2 linked regions of the Rattus norvegicus genome follow. The protein of the gene in region 1 purifies or fractionates together with the protein of each later gene. This does not show direct contact. Links are inferred from orthologs where the notes say so. Each region holds a gene or a part of one and is shown in the gene's direction. Other genes may lie near its edges.

What was found.
Region 2: the proteins of Wdr12 (region 1) and Bop1 purify together in Homo sapiens (affinity purification with western blotting; 6 studies listed by BioGRID and IntAct, with this or other methods). This does not show direct contact. The link is inferred for Rattus norvegicus from reciprocal best matches to the Homo sapiens genes WDR12 and BOP1.

What each region holds. Positions count from the first base shown.
Region 1 is NC_086027.1:68,993,823-68,998,074, reverse strand, and holds the start of Wdr12 (ribosome biogenesis protein WDR12), read left to right. Parts: upstream 1-1,263; 5' UTR 1,264-1,414; coding exon of another isoform or gene 1,415-1,626; 5' UTR 1,627-1,869; intron 1,870-1,998; 5' UTR 1,999-2,179; coding exon 2,180-2,220; intron 2,221-4,252. Other genes in the region: Carf (calcium-responsive transcription factor), read right to left, coding at 1,415-1,626.
Region 2 is NC_086025.1:110,073,534-110,078,119, reverse strand, and holds the start of Bop1 (ribosome biogenesis protein BOP1), read left to right. Parts: upstream 1-1,590; 5' UTR 1,591-1,597; coding exon 1,598-1,690; intron 1,691-3,692; coding exon 3,693-3,863; intron 3,864-4,586. Other genes in the region: Hsf1 (heat shock factor protein 1), read right to left, coding at 1,096-1,212. UniProt on the Homo sapiens protein: Component of the PeBoW complex, which is required for maturation of 28S and 5.8S ribosomal RNAs and formation of the 60S ribosome.

The sequences.
Region 1 (4,252 bases):
TTAATCAATCCTGTTACCAGCAAAAATTCAATAGCTATACTTCAACTAAGGAATTTCAAGTTTCAGATGTCCCCGCTTATTTAACGTAAATCCTCATCATTTCAAATGATTCTAGTTTAAAGGGCCTTGCTGCCATCAGCAAACCCAGTCTGAACAAGAGGGGTTTTTTCCCTGTAATTTCGGCAGAGGTTTTTCTCATTTTATGCCTCCACCTATATCACTGAGGTTTCTAGTAAAAACTTCTATTGGTAGCTCTTATGAGAGCAATAGTTAACATGTTCTGAGTTCTTCTTATGGGACTTTCAATTGTCACAGCTAACTTTAGTGTGGCACAGAGGAAAAGTAACACAGGTAAAATCAAATTCAGGCATTCCTGATACAAGGCATGCAATTCTGTAAAATGAATGAATTGAAAACAGTCATGCTTTTTGTGTTGTCCACTTAACAAATTATTGGTTTTCGCCTCCAATTGTTTAGATCACTTCTAATTTTCTACGGATTTAAATATCAGGCGACATACAGGAAAAACTCTCATTATATTCACCTGTACACTCATACTGCTAAGCCCACACATTTTGCAATCCAGTTCTGCCTGACTGTAATTTGCTGCCTCGGAGGGAGGAGTGTGTTCCCGTACCCCATCCCCAGAGGTTTCCAGGCGAATGCCTTAAAAAAGTGACTTTGGGATCTTAAGAGTAATAGCCCCCATCTATTCTCCACTCAGGAAAATAACTGGAGTAATAATCGAGACCATTGAGACCGAGACAAGCCTTTGAGTGACTTCAGGATTAAAAACAGAAAAAAGGGGTTGGGGATTTAGCTCAGTGGTAGAACGCTTGCCTAGGAAGCACAAGGCCCTGGGTTCGGTCCCCAGCTCCGAAAAAAAAAAAACAAAAACAAAAACAGAAAAAAGAAAAAGTCTGAAAGCAGGGGAGAAGGTGCAGAGGAAGCTTTTCTAAACATCAGACTCAGACAGGAGGGGAGAGGCCGCTCTCGGGCCCTGGACTCGGGTGCTCCGGGGCGGTGGGGCGCTCTTTGGCTCCGCACCCTCTGCGGGACAGACACCTCGCCTCCCCCTGCGGCAGCCTGCCTTCTCCCGGCCGCGGGCCCCCTCCCGGGTCCACGGCGACAGAGCCGCCGTGGAGGCGGGCGAGGGCGCAGGGACAGCGCGCAGCAGCGTCCAGCGACGGCCGGGGGCGGGGGCCGGCGGTTGCTCCCAGCCCCGGAGGGTCAGGAGGTGACGGGAGGAGGAGGGAGGAAGAAGGGAGGTTGGGAGGGAGCGTCCGGTCTGTGGGCGCGGACAGCTCTGCCAGACCTCTGGCTCCTCCAACCCTGCCGCCGCAGTGAGCCCCACAACGCGAGAGGGGAGTCCGCCGTAGCAGAAGGGAGAAAATTCAAAACGAGACTACTCAACCTCGTCTTGGCTCCGAGGCCCCGCCGTGGAGACCACCACAATGCGCAGGCGCAACTCTCCGGGAGGCGCAGCGCAGGCTCATCAGATTGGACCCGTCTCGGCCACCGTCGCCCAGTTCCCTTCCGATTCCTTCTCCCTTCTCGTGTTTCCGCTCTGAAGTCTGAGGTAAAAACACATGGTCTCAGCTCAATCTGGCTGTTGGAACGATTCATAGAAAACGAACTGGTGGAGCCTTTGTCACTCAGATTAAAGAAGCAGGAAGTGTAATATCTGCCCAGAGAAGGGAGTTTTAAAAGCGGATGTAAGAACCTAAGAGCGATGTGGCAAAGTAAATAAAACCTACAACTCCCAGTGTTCAGAGGGTCTGAAACGCGCTTCCTGCTGGGGTTTGTAGTATCTGAGCGCTGAGTCTAAAGGGTCTGGGTCTAACGACACCCTCAAAAATTAGGTTCAAGGTAGTTCTTTTCTTTATTTTTCTAATCGTTTATGGATCTAGATAGATAGTAAGAAATATGAAAGTATTAAGGGGACTGGATGCTTTTAAGACTGCTTTACTAATCGATGTTTCCTAAATCTCGGAATAGGTATTTGATGTGTGCGGGCTGGGCACCGGTGGAAATAGAACCTCGTGGTATGGTCTGTAGAAACCCGAGGAAGATAACTGAAGCCTGTCTTCTACTGCGCTCGAGGTGCAGTCTACCTTAGAGCTACTTGATTATCGGCGCATACATTTTTGTGGAGAAGCCTCGTTGTATACTTTCTGCCATGGCACAACTCCAGGCACGTTTCTACACGGAGAACAAGAAGTAAGTAAGGGTTCCATCTTCTGTCCCTGTCTTCCCCAAGCCGATCTCGTTTGAAGACTCCTTCGATTTGGACCTTGTAGCCCCGGGTAATCCTTGCTGTTTTGACTAGGAATATACAAGACTTTAGTAAATCAAAGCCGAAAGAACTTTAATAATAATTATTAGGCTTGAATGAAACGGATTTGATGCAAATAAGATAAGCTGACTGCTGGACAGAAAAAAATAAAAGACTTCATTCGCACTCCTATTCACGTGCCCCACGCTTCTATCTTATCACATTTGGAAGCGGTGGTCACGTCATCTTGAATCTTTTTTTACTCACTGTCGTGAGCAGTCTTTAGTCCAGAAAATGCTCACACAGACTTGCCTACAGGCCACTCTACGGAATTTCCTCTTTTCAGATAACCTTGTTTTCTATCTAGTTGATAAAACTCTATGTGTGTACTTGTGTGTCTATATATAAATAAGTTCTATAGAGACAACTTTGCTGGTGATACATATATAATATGGGGCTCAGGTATATCACAATAGAGTTGTATAACATCCACAGAATTCATTTTAGAAAAAACTTCACCACCACCACCCCATTTCTGTTATTGTTTTTAAATGACAAATTCTTTTTTTTTTAAGATTTATTAATTTTATGTATACACTGTAGCTGTCTTCAGACACACCAGAAGAGGGCATCAGACCCCATTACAGATGGTTGTGAGCCACCATGTAGTTGCTAGGAATTGAACTCAGGACCTGGAAGAGCAGTCAGTGCTCTTAACCACGGAGCCATCTTTCCAGCCCCATTGTGGTTTTTGGGTTTGTTTGTTTTGTTTTGTTTTTGTTTTTCAAAACAGAGTTTCTCTATGTAGCCCTGTCTGTCCTAGAACTATTCACTCCAATTGGCTCTGCCTGCTGAATGCTGGGATTAAAGGCATTCGCCACCACTGGCCACCACTGCCTGGCTCTAACTTGCCCGTTCTTTTTTTTTTTTCTTATAAAGGACATTTAATGGGGGGGGGGGATTGCCCGTTCTTTAGTTGACACTTCATCCCTTAAATACTCCTCACCCAAGTCAACTACTTACCTACTTACCATCTATTTGCAGAATTGCCTATTCTGGACATTTTTATAATGAAATTATACAAAATGTATGGTCTTTTGTGGATGTCATCTTTGTTTACCGTGTTTTTCTTTTTTCTTTTTAGTTTATTTGTGAGACAATATCATCATACTTTATTTTATGGCCAAATTGTATGGTTCAGTTTCTCTTATTGTCCAGTTAAACTTTCAGTATTTTAGCTGTTGTGAATAGTAGATGTGTAAGCATTAATATACAATTTTTATGTGAACGTGTGTAGCCCTGGCTGGCCGGGATCTCACTGTGTAGCCAAAGCTGGCCTCAGACCCATAGATCCTCATGCCTTTGCCTTCCAAATACTAGTATTAAAAGACCCATGCCACTATGCACAGTGAACATGTGTTTTCCTTGTTCGATGGTATGTATGTAAAAGTGTGGTTCTTTGATCAAAGAGTATAAGTCCACATTTAACTTTTTTTTTTTTGTTCTTTTTTTTTTTTTTTTTTTGTTCTTTTTTTTCGGAGCTGGGGACCGAACCCAGGGCCTTGCGCTTCCTAGGCAAGCGCTCTACCACTGAGCTAAATCCCCAACCCAACTTTTTTTTTTTTTCTGGAGCTGGGGACTGAACCCAGGGCCTTGCGCTTGCTAGGCAAGCGCTCTACCACTGAGCTAAGTCCCCAACCCCCACATTTAACTTTTAAAGAAACTGGCTCCCAGTTTTCCAAAGTAACTACTGTTTTACATCATCGCCAGCACTGATGAAGATTCTTCGTCTCTGTATCTTCACCAACACTTATGGCTGTCAAGTGATACGGATTGTGCTTGGTCCTGTTATTGCTCTTTCTCTGGAAAACTATTCAAATTCCTTGCCTGTGTTTTTTTGTTTGTTTGTTTTTTTGTTTTGTTTTTTTCTTAAAAAGACTTTTTATTACTGAACTGTAAATGTTCTTTATATATGTG
Region 2 (4,586 bases), on another chromosome or scaffold:
TCTGGTATCCCTACTGGACCTAAGAAAACTCCCTTTCAGCCAAAGAAAACAGAGGACAGGAACGTTGGGGAAAGACAGAAATGTAAGGTCATTTTCTCTGCCTTGGAGTATGAAGTCCAGGAGAGGTTGTGAACTGAAGATGGCATTTAGGAAAACATGGAATAACCACAAAGAATGGTGAGAAGTGAAGTTCTGTGCTTTCTTGTCTTCTCTTTATTCCCAAGCACCCTTTAGGCAGAGCAGAGTTTAAACAAACAGGCAACAGAGAGGCAGAAGCCTTGGCCTCTACCTACCACCCAGGCTTTTTTCCATTTTTGCCAGCTTAAGAAACTACTGTGTGGGGGGGGGTCAGTGCTCAGCAGAGTCCGAGAAGCCTCCGGATTTGGCTTGCAGGAGGTCAAGTAGGTGGCATCTAGCCACCTTTATCCCTCCAAAGGCTCTCCCTGGATCAGGATAGCCTCTCCCTGGATCAGAATAGCCTGTCTTCAGGCCACCATTTGCTAGCTCTGCACTCTGGCCTCAGAACCCAAATGTGGACAGCAGATTCTACTTTCCACATTGACACAAACACGGAACCACCTTCTGCAAGCAAGTCAGAGATGCAGGTCCAGCAGGGTCTGCGGTGTACACAGCCCGCTGCCAGGCAACAGAATAGGGTTCGACACCGCCCTTTGAGGGCCGGGCAAAACTGCTCTGACGTCTAGGGACTATCAGGGACGAGTTTAGGATTCACATCTCCTACTCTCACTCTTCTTCCATGCATTCGTTAGGCCCTCCACGTACTCTGAATGGTTGCTAAAATCAGAAAGGCAGAGGGGCTATGGGAACTATTTCTCTGTGAGCAAAGACCCTGAACTGGAAGCCCGGTCCTTATCGTCCCGGTGAAATGTAGGATTTTGGGTCTCGGCCTACTCTCCGCGAGTGGCTCTGGGGGCGGGGCGCACTTCCTCCCCAGACAGCGGCGTTCTCCCTCCAGGATGCCGGGAGGGCTGAACCCAGACAAGCCTGGTTATTCTCAGGCCGCTTCTCCTAAACAGGTTCACTCCGGCAACAGAACCCTCCCATGAGGCCGCTCCGGCCCATGCCAGCTCCTACCGGGCTCCAGCAGATGAGCGCGTCTGTGTCCGGGTCGCTCACGAGGGTCCACAGCTTGGTTAGGAAGGCCGGGACGTTGCTGGGCCCCGCTGCACCGGGGCCCACAGCCAGATCCATCTCCGAAGAAGCAGGCAGAGGCTGGGGTGGCGTTCTAGAAGAGTGGCTGAAGGCTGAGCTAGTGTCGTCGCTGCCCCTGATGTCCGGGCCGCTCCGCCGCCCGCTGCGCACACACAGCAAGGCCTCGCATGGCCGCAGCCATCTTGCGACCGGCGCGCTCTCGCTAGGGCCAGACCTGTACCTCCTGTGCGCAGGCGCTGTGATCTTTTCTGCCGACTTCACAGGCCCTGCCCTTGGGCGGCCCGCTGCACTGTACGCCTGCGCAAGATGGCTTCACTCGGGCTGCTCACCAATTAGAGCGTGGTTGGGCGGGGCCTGACTGAGGGCACACGAGGCTCTCCCGCTGCCGGAAGCGGCAGTAAATCGGTAGCCGGCGCGGTGCAGCATGGCGGGGGCGTGTGGTAAGCACCACATGTCACCGGGATCGCTGCCAGGGAAACGGCGTTTGGAACCTGATCAGGAGCCACAGATACAAGAGGTAACTTCGAGGTAGCGGGTTGCATCCCTCTGTGAACCATGTAGGCACGTGGCAAGGCCAGGGAGGCCGGGCCGTGGCGCAGTATGTAGTGTCTTGTAGGTCGGCTAGAGCCCAGAAGAAGCTCGTTCTGTCTGGGCTGTTATTTGGGAACTCTCAACAGAACACTACCTGCGCCGAGGAGCGCTGGAACCCAGGGGTAGTTCTGTGGCCTGAACCGTGTTAAGGGAGAGACCTTTAAGAGTCTCCTCACCACCGTGCTTCCTGTCCTGGAAAAGGTTGTAATTGCGCTGGTGCGGTGAGCCAGTACGTCAGGTGTGTTGTGAAACAAGAGGACATGAGATTATAGAAGCCTGAATGGAACCCAGGGCATCCAGGGCTGGTTGTCATGGAATCATTGCTACTCCATGTTGCTGAGCTCAGTAGGCTTGCTAGTGGGGCTTCATCAAATCAAGGTGGTAGAAAGCGTGCACAGCTATGTCTTACAGTTGACTCCACTTCATTGGATCCTCTAAGTTGCCAACTTTCCTAATGCTACTGGCCCTTTTAATAGGGTTCCTCATGTTGTGGTGATCCCCAACCACAAAATTGCTTTTGCTGCTACTTCCTAACCGTAATTTTGCTTCTGTTATGAATCGTAATGTTATTATCTGATATGCAGGATAGTGTGTGAAAGGGTCATTCTTCCCAGAGGGGTTGTGACCCACAGGTTGAGAGCCACGACGTAAGCTGTCCCTTTGTTTTGTGAAATTTTCCTACACGTAAGATTTTAGTAGTCTAGGTAGTAAGCTTTTTGTAGTTGATTGCTTGTGCTCTAACCGTTGTACTGCTTGTATTCGTTAGTATGATAAGTAGTTTTAGAAACGTCAATAATAAGAGAATGTCAGTATGACTTCTTTGGAAACCCAGGTGAACACTGGGATAGTTGGCAGTGAAGGCCACTCAAGTGCAAGAATTAACCGCTAGTGGCAGTGGCACCAATCTTTAGTCCCAGCACTCGGAAGACGGGCAGATGATCTCTGTTAGTTTGAGTCCAGCTTGGTCCACAGAGTGAGTTCTAGGGGCAGTCACGTGCTTCCTTAAGTGTTCAAGTTCTTGTTCAACGTTTGGAGGTCAGTGATAGAAACCTGTCCATCGTGCATGAATGTCAGAGTGTGTTAGTTGTAAAATGGCCTCTAGGGCTGTACTCAGAGGATTCTCCCTGTTCTAAAAGAGACAGCAGATGGTATGTTTGTCTTAGTCACCGTCCCAGTGCCGTGATGAAACACTATGACCAAGGCAGCTTATGAAAGGAAGCATGCGATTGGAAGCCTGCTTACGGTTTTAGAGGGTTGGTCCTCTACCGTTGCAGCAGGGAGCACTGTGCTGGAGCAGCACTTCAGAGCTTTTCTTACGTCTCAATGAGCGAGCAGAGAGGAAGGGGGATGCTGGGTCTGATGTGGATTTCCGAGACCTCAGCGCCCATTCCCAGTGACCTACAAAGCTGCACCTCCTAATTTTTCTTCAACAGCCCACCTGGGAATCAGTCTGAGGGCCCTTCTCTTCCAAAGCACCACATAGTTTAGCTTGCTACTCTTGGGCTTTTCCAACTTGTCCGTCAGTGGTTGGTCCCAGTCTTCAAGGTAAAGAAGCTTCTACTGTAGCTGGTCTAAGCCTTCAGGGAGTTCCAGTCGTCCCAGGCCCAGGGCCTCATTCCTAGCTAGTGCCTTTCCAGTTCCTGGACCCTTGGGTGCCCGAGTAGGGTGTAGAGTTTGTCAGTAGAGGAAAATTGGTTTTGGTGACAGTAAGTGGAAACTGAACTCCACAAAGCCATATGTTCTTGAAAGGTCCCTCTGTTGCAAGAAACTGGGAATCGGTGTGTCTGCTTTGAGGGCAGGTTCTGTCAACAGAGGCAGGAGATGAGGGCCCAGGCTGGGTGGATGGTTTTGGTGTAGATGGAAGCATGTGAGGCACAGCTATGTCCCATTTCCAGGTGGCAGTTATTAAACACTGTGATTCCTTGCAGCCTCTTCTCCTCAGCGACCCTGACTCCAGTCTCTCTGACAGCGAGGAGAGTGTGTTTTCAGGCCTTGAAGATTCTGGCAGTGACACGAGTGACGAGGACACTGAAGAAGTGGCCAGAGCTGGTTGTGACAAAGACAATAGAACAGAGAAGACCTCTGAGGAGCAGGAACAGGTGGGTGAGGGGCTTCCATGGGCTCTCCTGTGCGTGAGGGGGGTCAGAAAGAGGAAGCACCTGCCCTGGGCCCATACTGTCCTCTTATGGTGTTCTCAGGAACCCAGTCCTCTAACCCTTGTCACACATTTGAGCTCCAGGCTATTAGTCTGTAACCTCAGTTGTCTGTACCTTTCCTGAGGATTAGGAGTGTCCACATGCTCATGTCTTTGCCCAATACTGAGAGTATTTTCTAGAGGCAGAGCCCAAGATGGGGATGCCACTGCTAGGGGAGCTAGCAGTGCATGGTTGCAAGGGAGGATGTTCAGCAGAAAAAGCAGAGGACACTAGAGGCCGGCTTAGCTGCCCATGGGCCTTGGACGCTGAGGCAACTGTCTGCTGAACTGATAGGGAAGGCTGTACTCTTTGTTTAATAAAAATGCAAGAAACGCTTAAGTTGACTAAAATACAGCAGTTAAAAAACTTTCTGCAAACTAGTTTGTAATTACACTTCAGTGGCCTGGTGTTCTGGAAATCATGACTTTGGTTAATCATGTCTGCTGTCAGGTTGGAAACCAAGAGGCCAGGCCTAGTTTGTCTTGGTTATGGTAGGTTAAAGAAATGTTCACCATGGTGTTTGTAAGATTCGGGGCTTACCATTCTCTTTTTTAAGCTTTTGTTTTAGTGGGTTTCTTGTTTGTTTTGCTTTGTTTTGTTTTTGTGTGGCTGGGGTGTGTAAGTAGA